2 linked regions of the Mus musculus genome follow. The protein of the gene in region 1 purifies or fractionates together with the protein of each later gene. This does not show direct contact. Links are inferred from orthologs where the notes say so. Each region holds a gene or a part of one and is shown in the gene's direction. Other genes may lie near its edges.

What was found.
Region 2: the proteins of Asb2 (region 1) and Rnf7 purify together in Homo sapiens (affinity purification with western blotting; 3 studies listed by BioGRID and IntAct, with this or other methods). This does not show direct contact. The link is inferred for Mus musculus from reciprocal best matches to the Homo sapiens genes ASB2 and RNF7.

The regions. Positions count from the first base shown.
Region 1 is NC_000078.6:103,335,489-103,339,295, reverse strand, and holds part of Asb2 (ankyrin repeat and SOCS box protein 2), read left to right. Parts: intron 1-905; exon of another isoform or gene 906-1,052; coding exon of another isoform or gene 1,053-1,114; coding exon 1,115-1,219; intron 1,220-2,290; exon of another isoform or gene 2,291-2,423; intron 2,424-3,319; coding exon 3,320-3,486; intron 3,487-3,807. UniProt on the Homo sapiens protein: Substrate-recognition component of a SCF-like ECS (Elongin-Cullin-SOCS-box protein) E3 ubiquitin-protein ligase complex which mediates the ubiquitination and subsequent proteasomal degradation of target proteins.
Region 2 is NC_000075.6:96,475,632-96,480,166, reverse strand, and holds the start of Rnf7 (RING-box protein 2), read left to right. Parts: upstream 1-1,491; 5' UTR 1,492-1,584; coding exon 1,585-1,759; intron 1,760-4,535. UniProt on the Homo sapiens protein: Catalytic component of multiple cullin-5-RING E3 ubiquitin-protein ligase complexes (ECS complexes), which mediate the ubiquitination and subsequent proteasomal degradation of target proteins.

The DNA.
Region 1 (3,807 bases):
GAGAAACAAATGCATCTGCATGTTTGCTTGTGCTCAGCTTGATTCCACTACTCTTGCCTAGGAATTGGTGCCACCCACAGTAGACCTGGTCTTCACAGATCAGTATGACTTAAGACAGCACCCACAGACATGCCCAGAGGGCCAACCCAATTTAGCCAATCGAATTGAGATTCTCTTTCCAACTGATTCCAGGCTGAGTCAAATTGACAATTAAAGCTACCCTTCACACCATCCAGTTTTGAAGTAGTAAGTGGATCTGGATCCAAGGCTGAGAACAGAGCCCTCTTGATCCCTGTCACTTCCCCAAGGCACACCATAGCACGCTACTGAACTGGGACAAGCCTTCAATACATGAGCCTTTGAGGAACACTGTGCTCCACAAGACAGCTAAGCATTTCACACTGGCACTTGAGACAGGGGCTGCTCTCTTCCTACTACACAGGTAGGAGAAGTAAAATGCATGGAAAATGAGATTGCCTGCAGGTCACACGAGTGACAGCATCTGGGTTTAAATCCCTGTCTGACCTTCCTTACACACCCTTTCGCTGTACCCTCTAGACTACTGGGTCCCCAGAGGGCTATGGGGTACACAGTCCTCGTAAGTGAAGCCAGCAAGGTGATGTGGAGGGTCCACGTGTCTTGGCTTCTCAGACTGGCTCTCCTGTTCCCTTGCTTGTCCAGGAATCTCTTCTCCAGCCCCACTGAGGTCCCCCCATGGCCTTTCATCCTGACGCCTGCCACCCAGCGACCGCTTCTCACATCCTCCCTGGTGAAGAATGTCACCTTGCTTCATATCTGCACCCTTGTGGTTGGCTGGGGAGGGGGGCGGTGGGGGCGGGGGTGAGGTTAACCTCATTGTTGTCTTATATGGTCATTTAAATCTCCAAGGGCTTCCTCCAAGGGCCAAAAATAATCCAGAGACACAGCAGCTGTGTCCAGCACACAGAGAGGGCCCGGCCATCTGCTTTGGTTCAGAGCCCTGTGTCTGTCTGTCACTTAGACTCTTCCTCCCGGCTCGCAGCTCACCCTCCATCCTCCTTACTGGCTCCAGCATGACTCGCTTCTCTTATGCAGAGTACTTTGCTCTGTTTCACTCTGGCTCTGCACCTTCCAGGTCCCCTTCGTCTCCCGAGAACCCACCGGCCCGCGCACCCCTGGGTCTGTTCCAAGGGGTCATGCAGAAGTATAGCAGCAACCTGTTCAAGACCTCCCAGATGGCGTAAGTGATCGACCCCCCCACCTGGCTCCAAGACCACCCTGCTCACACCTCCAGCTGAGGCAGCAGGGAGAGGCTTTGCAGCCCTAGATCTCCTTCCTGCTGTGTCTAGAGTCTAGATTCTAGTGCTCCTACTGAACTAGACACAGGGGACATAGCCTGATGCCCGCTAGGAGTGGCATTTGGGCTGTGCTTGGGACTGACCCCTCAGATCTTCTCAGAGGTTGTGACCCTGCTGCTGGAGGAGTTCCGTGGGTCTCTGAATCTGGGGAGGGAGAGGTTCAAAGGGCTGGGGTGTGTGTTGGGGGGTGGTGGTGAGGAGTTGGCTTTCACTTCTATTCATCCCTGTCTTGTGTCTCCCCATGCCACCTCCAGGGCTTCATCTGTGCACATCTAAATCCCCACCCACAACACTTCATTTAAGAACCAGGTGCCAAAGCCCGGTACTAATCAATTAACCGGGGCCAAAGGAGAGGGTTCTGCCTGGGATATGGAGCTAATGGGACATTTGTACCTCCTTCCTTGCTCTGACTCGGAGTGTCCCTAAAAGCAGTTTAAAAATGGGGGCCCTTTGCTGGTACCCTATTTCTGTGTGGCAGAGAGGAGGATACAGCTGGCCAGTTCTCACTCTCAGCCTTCCCAAGCCCTATGGCCACCAGGGGCTTTGAGGCTGAGAAAAAAGAAAGTCCCAGTTCTAATCTCAGTACAACTACCTACCCTCGAGTGTATGCCATAGGAGGGCCTGCCCCCGAGTCTCTCTTCTCTGCTAGGCAGGCCTTGGGGAAGACAAAGTTGTCTTCCAAGGCCCTGTGCAGCTTGCTTCTAGTCCTTGGTGGTTTAACATGCCTGGCAGCCTTTCTCTCTTTAGGGTGGGGACTTTGTCTGGGCTCATGGAGAAGCTGTTAGTGTGTGTGATGCTGAGAGCCCCAGGATCTGTGAATCCCAGCTAGGGAGACCCACTCTGGCTGGTGGGTCCTGACAGCAAGTTTTACATAGTGGGAACCTCCCCTCACCAAGGCCACAGGACCAGCCAGCCCACCCCCCCCCACACACACACACACTTCAGCCACATACCCAATGGGCCCCTCCCTGAGACTGATGGGGGTTGGTCCTGCTGCTCCTGAGTGGCTCTCAAGCAGGTGGCTATGATGGTGTTGATGGACCTTCAAGATCTAGCTGGTCAGTCGCTTGTCCTTGTTGGGTCTCTGGCTTCACCCCGTATCTACTATTAATAACCCCGAGGCTGAGATGCAGGAGGAAGTGTCACATGCTGGAGGAAGCAGCTGGGAACATTTGGGGGTTGGTCCTAGAGATTCCCCCTAAACCCATCCTAGCTCCTGATCCCAGGATCCCAGACAGTCATGGTCCTTACTGACTTGGTAGCAGGGGACAAAGGGAAAGAGATTGCAGAGAACAGACAGAAAAGTAAATGGATAGATGAAAAAAAAAAATGCCTTCAAGGAGCCAGACAAAGATGCCCCCCACTGTGGCCTTGAAATCTTTTGACATTTAGAAATTTTAAACTGTGAAGGATTCTAATTTATTAATCCTTCAAGTATTGTCATTTCGCAGCAGCTGGGAGTAGGGATAATGGATTCGATGGGGAGATGGGGAGACAGGAAGGCTGGGGTAACAGGGAAGGGAGGGACCTTGGCAGGCCCTTGCCTTTGGGAGCTCTTGCTAGCGTTCAACCCTGTAGGTAGCTGTGCGTGGTACAAATCAGAGGGCCCTCTTTTGGGAAGGTCCCTAGTTACTGAAGATTTCTCTGCAGTTCTAAGCCAGTGTTAGCAATCTGTGCCGGAGTGTAAGCAGTGTTAGCAATCTGTGCCGGAGTGTAAGCAGTGTTAGCAATCTCTCCCTGGTAGAAACAGTTTGGGTGTGACGTTAGCTTCAGCCACAGAAAGTCTCGGGCCTGCTGGGCTCCCACCCTGATTTGCTTGCATCCAGTGAGCTAGAGGGCACAAGCATTAGGCCCAGAACAAGCTGAATACGAAGAAGGAGAGACCTCAGAGCAGACACTGGCTCCTGCCCTCCAGCAGGACCCAGGCCACCCGGCCCTGCCTCTGCACGCAGCTGAGAACTGGCTGCTGCTTGCTCTCACAGGGCTATGGACCCCGTGCTGAAGGCCATCAAGGAAGGGGATGAAGAGGCCTTGAAGATCATGATCCAGGATGGGAAGAATCTTGCAGAGCCCAACAAGGAGGGCTGGCTGCCGCTCCACGAGGCTGCCTACTATGGCCAGCTGGGCTGCCTGAAAGTCCTGCAGCAAGGTGAGGACCATCTCTGAAGGGCCAGCAGGGTACAGGGCTCTCTCCCTTGGTGAAGAGGGCAGGCCATGTAATGGTCGCCACAAACACAGTTAAAATCACTGTGTTGCGGCGGGGGTGGGTGGAGTGGTGTGGAGAATTGGGTTCGGGGTAGGGGTGGGGTGGACAGGCCTCTCCCTGTTCCTGCCCCTGCCTCTTGTTGCTGTCTCTCCATGCCTTTCAGCCGGCAGAACCTAATTCCTAGAAAAAGAACGAGGGAAGAACTAAATTCTGGGACAGCCACTGCTAGTTTGTTCCAGAATGTTCCAGGGGCTGATTTGGTGT
Region 2 (4,535 bases), on another chromosome or scaffold:
TTAATGTAAACTAAAATAACTGAAGAAGGCACAAGTCAAAAGTAACTTTCATGTTACGTCTGGAAAAAAAAATCACCATGTTCTGTCAGAAATGAACGTTTCAAGATTGTTCTGTCATCTGACTTTCATGTGAGTTGTGGTCTTTGTGGGGTTTGCCTTTAGAAACACCGTATCCCTGAGCTGCGACACCAAGAGACTCTGAGGCATGCGCCGGAATTTGGTCCTGCACGAATAAAGGACTCGTACTTTTTTGTTTGTTTTTGTTTTTCGAGACAAGGCTTCTCTGTGTAGCCTTGGTTGCCCGAAACTTGATTTGTAGACCAGGCTGGCCTTATAACTCACAAGGATCCACCTGCTGCTGTCTCCCAAGTGCTCAGAGTAAGGTGTGCACGGCCACTGCCCCATATACTTCTAATTGGCTTAACCGGTAAGGATGGACACCACCACCCCCGTTGGTAAGAGTAGCCTGAAGGATGGCGGTGGACGTGAGCTGAGCACGAGGCAGGAACATTTGTTTTGCTTTTTCATCCAAGCTTTCCTTCAATGCTGGCCAAGTGATCTGAGACAAAGCCTGGTGGGAGGGACCTAACCACAGTCCCAGGGGCCCACTGCCTGGCCCTTCCCTGGCTGGCTCACTCTGCTTTCTCCCCAGCACACATTTGCTTAAGCATTGCGTTCTTGCCCTTCTGCTTACCTATTCTCTGTCACCTGAGAACAATAACAAACAAACAAACAAACAAACAAATGTAGTGTCTGGAGGGATGACTCAGTGGTTAAAACCATGGTCTGTTCTTCCAAACGACCGGGGTTCAATCCTCAGCACCTCCATGGCAGATCACAACTGTCTGTAACTCCAGGTCCTTTCCAAGGAATCTGACACCTCACAGCAATGCACATAAAATAAAGTTTAAAAAAACATATATTTTGTTTGTTTGCTTGCTTGCTTGCTTGCTTGCTTGTTGCGAGACAGGGTTTCTCTGTATAGCCCTGGCTGTCCTGGAACGCACTTTGTAACCAGGCTGGCCTTGAACTCAGAAATCCGCCTGCCTCTGCCTCCCGAGTGCTGGGATTAAAGGTGTGAGCTACCACGCCCGGCTGCCGAAAAACCAAAAATAAATAAATAAATAAATAAATAAATAAATAAATAAATAAATAAATAAATGAATCTGAATTCAAGGCCAACCATTTTGTAAGATACGGAGGTTACAGTGATGAGAATTCTGTCCCTACTCTTGATAGTTTTACATTTGGGAGAAAGGAGACAAATGAAGACAGGGACGATGTGATTTCTGAGACTCCCCCGAGTTTAATACAATGTAACTCCAGACAATGCTCGCTTACTGACCCGGGCCTGCCCTACAGCAACTGGCCTTTGGCCACTTTAGCAAGCGCTGGGGTTCTCTGTACAGGCCTTGCCCAGCCCCTCGTGACGTCACTGGCGCGCGCCATCCAATCATCGCCGTCTGGCTCCGCCCGCCCGCCCGTGCCTGCGGGAGGCTCCGTGGCGTGTGTTGTGGCCCCGCTGAGCCACCGTACCTCCCGCCTCCGCGCCCAACGTCCGCGTCGCCGTTCTGCGCCGCCGCCATGGCCGACGTGGAGGACGGCGAGGAACCCTGCGTCCTTTCTTCGCACTCCGGGAGCGCAGGCTCCAAGTCGGGAGGCGACAAGATGTTCTCTCTCAAGAAGTGGAACGCGGTAGCCATGTGGAGCTGGGACGTTGAGTGCGATACCTGTGCCATCTGCAGGGTCCAGGTGATGGGTAAGCGATGCAGGCGAAGCCGGGACCGCGAGCTGGGCCGAGCCGGCGAGTGCTGGGCCGGGCCGGGCCGCCAGACACGGGATGGTTCCTATGGGGGCGGGGGGGAGGGGGCGTGACCGGGATACCCGAGGGGAACCTCCGGCCCTGCGGCCAGCAAATCTCCCAGCGGATCCCTCGCGTAGATCTGAGGGTTGGGATGTTCGTCTTTGAGATGCTCTCACGTTCCTCAGGATTAGAGCTTGCCCATTTAGCCGAGGTTGGCTTAGAACCCAGGAGGGCGCACCTCCCAAAAACTGGAAATTGCGAGCCTGCGCCACTATACGGATTCTGTCTCATAACCGAAATGAGGCTCAGTGACCGGAGAGATGTTTCCACAGTTAAGAGCACAAGCTTGTTCTTAACAGAGAACCCGGGTTCGATTTTCCACACCCACATGGCAACTCACCACCCTCTAACTCCTGTTCCAATAACTCCAGCACCCCATTATGGCCCTTGAGGGCATTAGGCACATTTGGTATGCAAACCCAGATGCAGGTAGCATAAACATAAAATTTTAGATTACTGTGAGGTTGCTTTACAGGGCGACTGGGGAGTAGTTGAAATAGATTTCTGCAGTTTGAAAATGTGCGCGTTTCTTGGCTTTGAGACTTTAAACGTAGCATCAAGAGATTCCACAGTCTATTCTTTGTCTTTGGACTTGCTTCATCAGGGCTCCCAAACTTTACTTTTTACATTTAATTGTAGACCCAGACACTAGTTTCTATGTAGAATCTGATTTGACTAAAACACTAAAATCCAGCTGTTCCACCCCTCATCCTTGCTTAGGAGCTGGGCAGTGATTTCCATTTTAGGGTTGAGTGTGGTTGCGAATGTCTGAAATGCCAGCACTCGGGAGGCTGAGGCATGGGGGCAGAGGCAGCACAAGCTTTGCTTAGAAATTTTATTCTGGCCAGGTGTGGTGATATCTTTAAACTTAGTACTCGAGAAGCAAAGATAAACAGATCTCTGTGCGCCTTAGGCCAGCCTGGTCTACACAACCAAGGCTAAGTAGTGGGACCCCATCTTAAAAACAAATAATGAATAAATCTTTTTTGTTTGTTTTGGTTTTTTCGAGACAGGGTTTCTCTGTGTAGCCCTGGCTGTCCTGGAACTCACTTTGTAGACCAGGCTGGCCTCCAACTCAGAAATCCACCTGCCTCTGCCTCCCGAGTGCTGAAATTAAAGGGGTCCACCACCACGCCCGCTTTTTTTTTTTAAATCATCATCATCATTATTTTATTACCCTGTTGTTAATGGTGCATTCTTTAATCCCAGCACTTGGGAGCCATAGGCAGGTGGGTCTCTTGAGTTCCATGACAACCTGATCTAACAGCAAATTCCAGGATAGCCAGTACTACACAAGAAACCCTGTCTTTAAAAACAACAAAATTTACTTAGAGTTGTGGTGGGGGCGGACACATAGAAGAACTCTGTGTGTGTGTGTGTGTGTGTGTGTGTGTGTGTGTGTGTGTGTGTGTGTGAGTGTGAGTGTGACATAGAAGAAGAGTATTGGGAGTTGCTTCTTTTCTCCTGCCATGTGGGTCCCAAGGCTTAAACTCATGCAAGCACTTTAATTTTTGAGCAGTCTATCTGGCCAGAGATTGGCTTTTTGTTTGTTTGTTTTTCGAGACAGGGTTTCTCTGTGTAGACCAGGCTGGCCTCGAACTCAGAAATCCACCTGCCTCTGCCTCCCAGGCACTGGGATTAAAGGCGTACACCACCACACCCGGCTGAGATTGGCTTTTAAATATATATAGTTAAGTTTGTTTGTTTGTTTATTCTGGGCGTGGTGGCACACACCTTTTAATCCCGCACTTGGGAGGCAGAAGATGGATCTCTGATTTCAAGGCCAACTTGGTCTACTTAATGATCTCTAAGACGGCCATCCAGGTTTATGTAGAGAGCCTGTCTCAACCTACCCCACCCCTAACATTGTTAAATTTTAGTTTAATGAATGCACATGTATGGAGGGTATGGACATATGTGTTTAAGAGCCCGTGGATCCCTCTGGAGCTGGGGTTATGGCAGTTGTGAGCTCCCTGGGCCGGGCACTGGGACTAAACTTGACATCCTGTTTGAGAGTTCTTACACTGAGCCATCTCTCAGGCCCTGACTTTTCATAATCTTAAAGTTATTTATTTGCCTTCTTTTTTTTTTTATAGTTTTTTTTTTTTTTTAAGATTTATTTATTTATTATATGTAAGTACATTGTAGCTGTCTTCAGACACTCCAGAAGAGGGCATCAGATCTTGTTACAGATGGTTGTGAGCCACCATGTGGTTGCTGGGATTTGAACTCCGGACCTTCGGAAGAGCAGTCGGGTGCTCTTACCCACTGAGCCATCTCACCAGCCCCTTATTTGCCTTCTTATTCCAAAGTTGGCCTGTCACCCAGTTGCAGTGTGGGTAATCTCTCCCTTGGGTTCCACCTATACCCTGTACAGCCAGAGTAGAGTGCCTGCTTGTGATAACTTAGAGATTTCACAATGGCTGTTTGGAGCTTTGGTTTCCTACTTATTAAAAAGGTGGCGGCCAGAGCTAGAGCAGCCGCAGGTGTCATCAGCACACCGGGTGGTTTGCTTGCCTCCCTTCTCCATTTCCTAGTGAGCTCCATGGGGGACAGCCTTGGCTGTTTTGTCATCCCAAGGCTTAAATCCTAGAAGAGTGGGTGTTTAGTAACTATGGATAAAGCCCAAGGAGGCAGTTTTATATCTATATAGAAGAGGCCAGGATGGCTG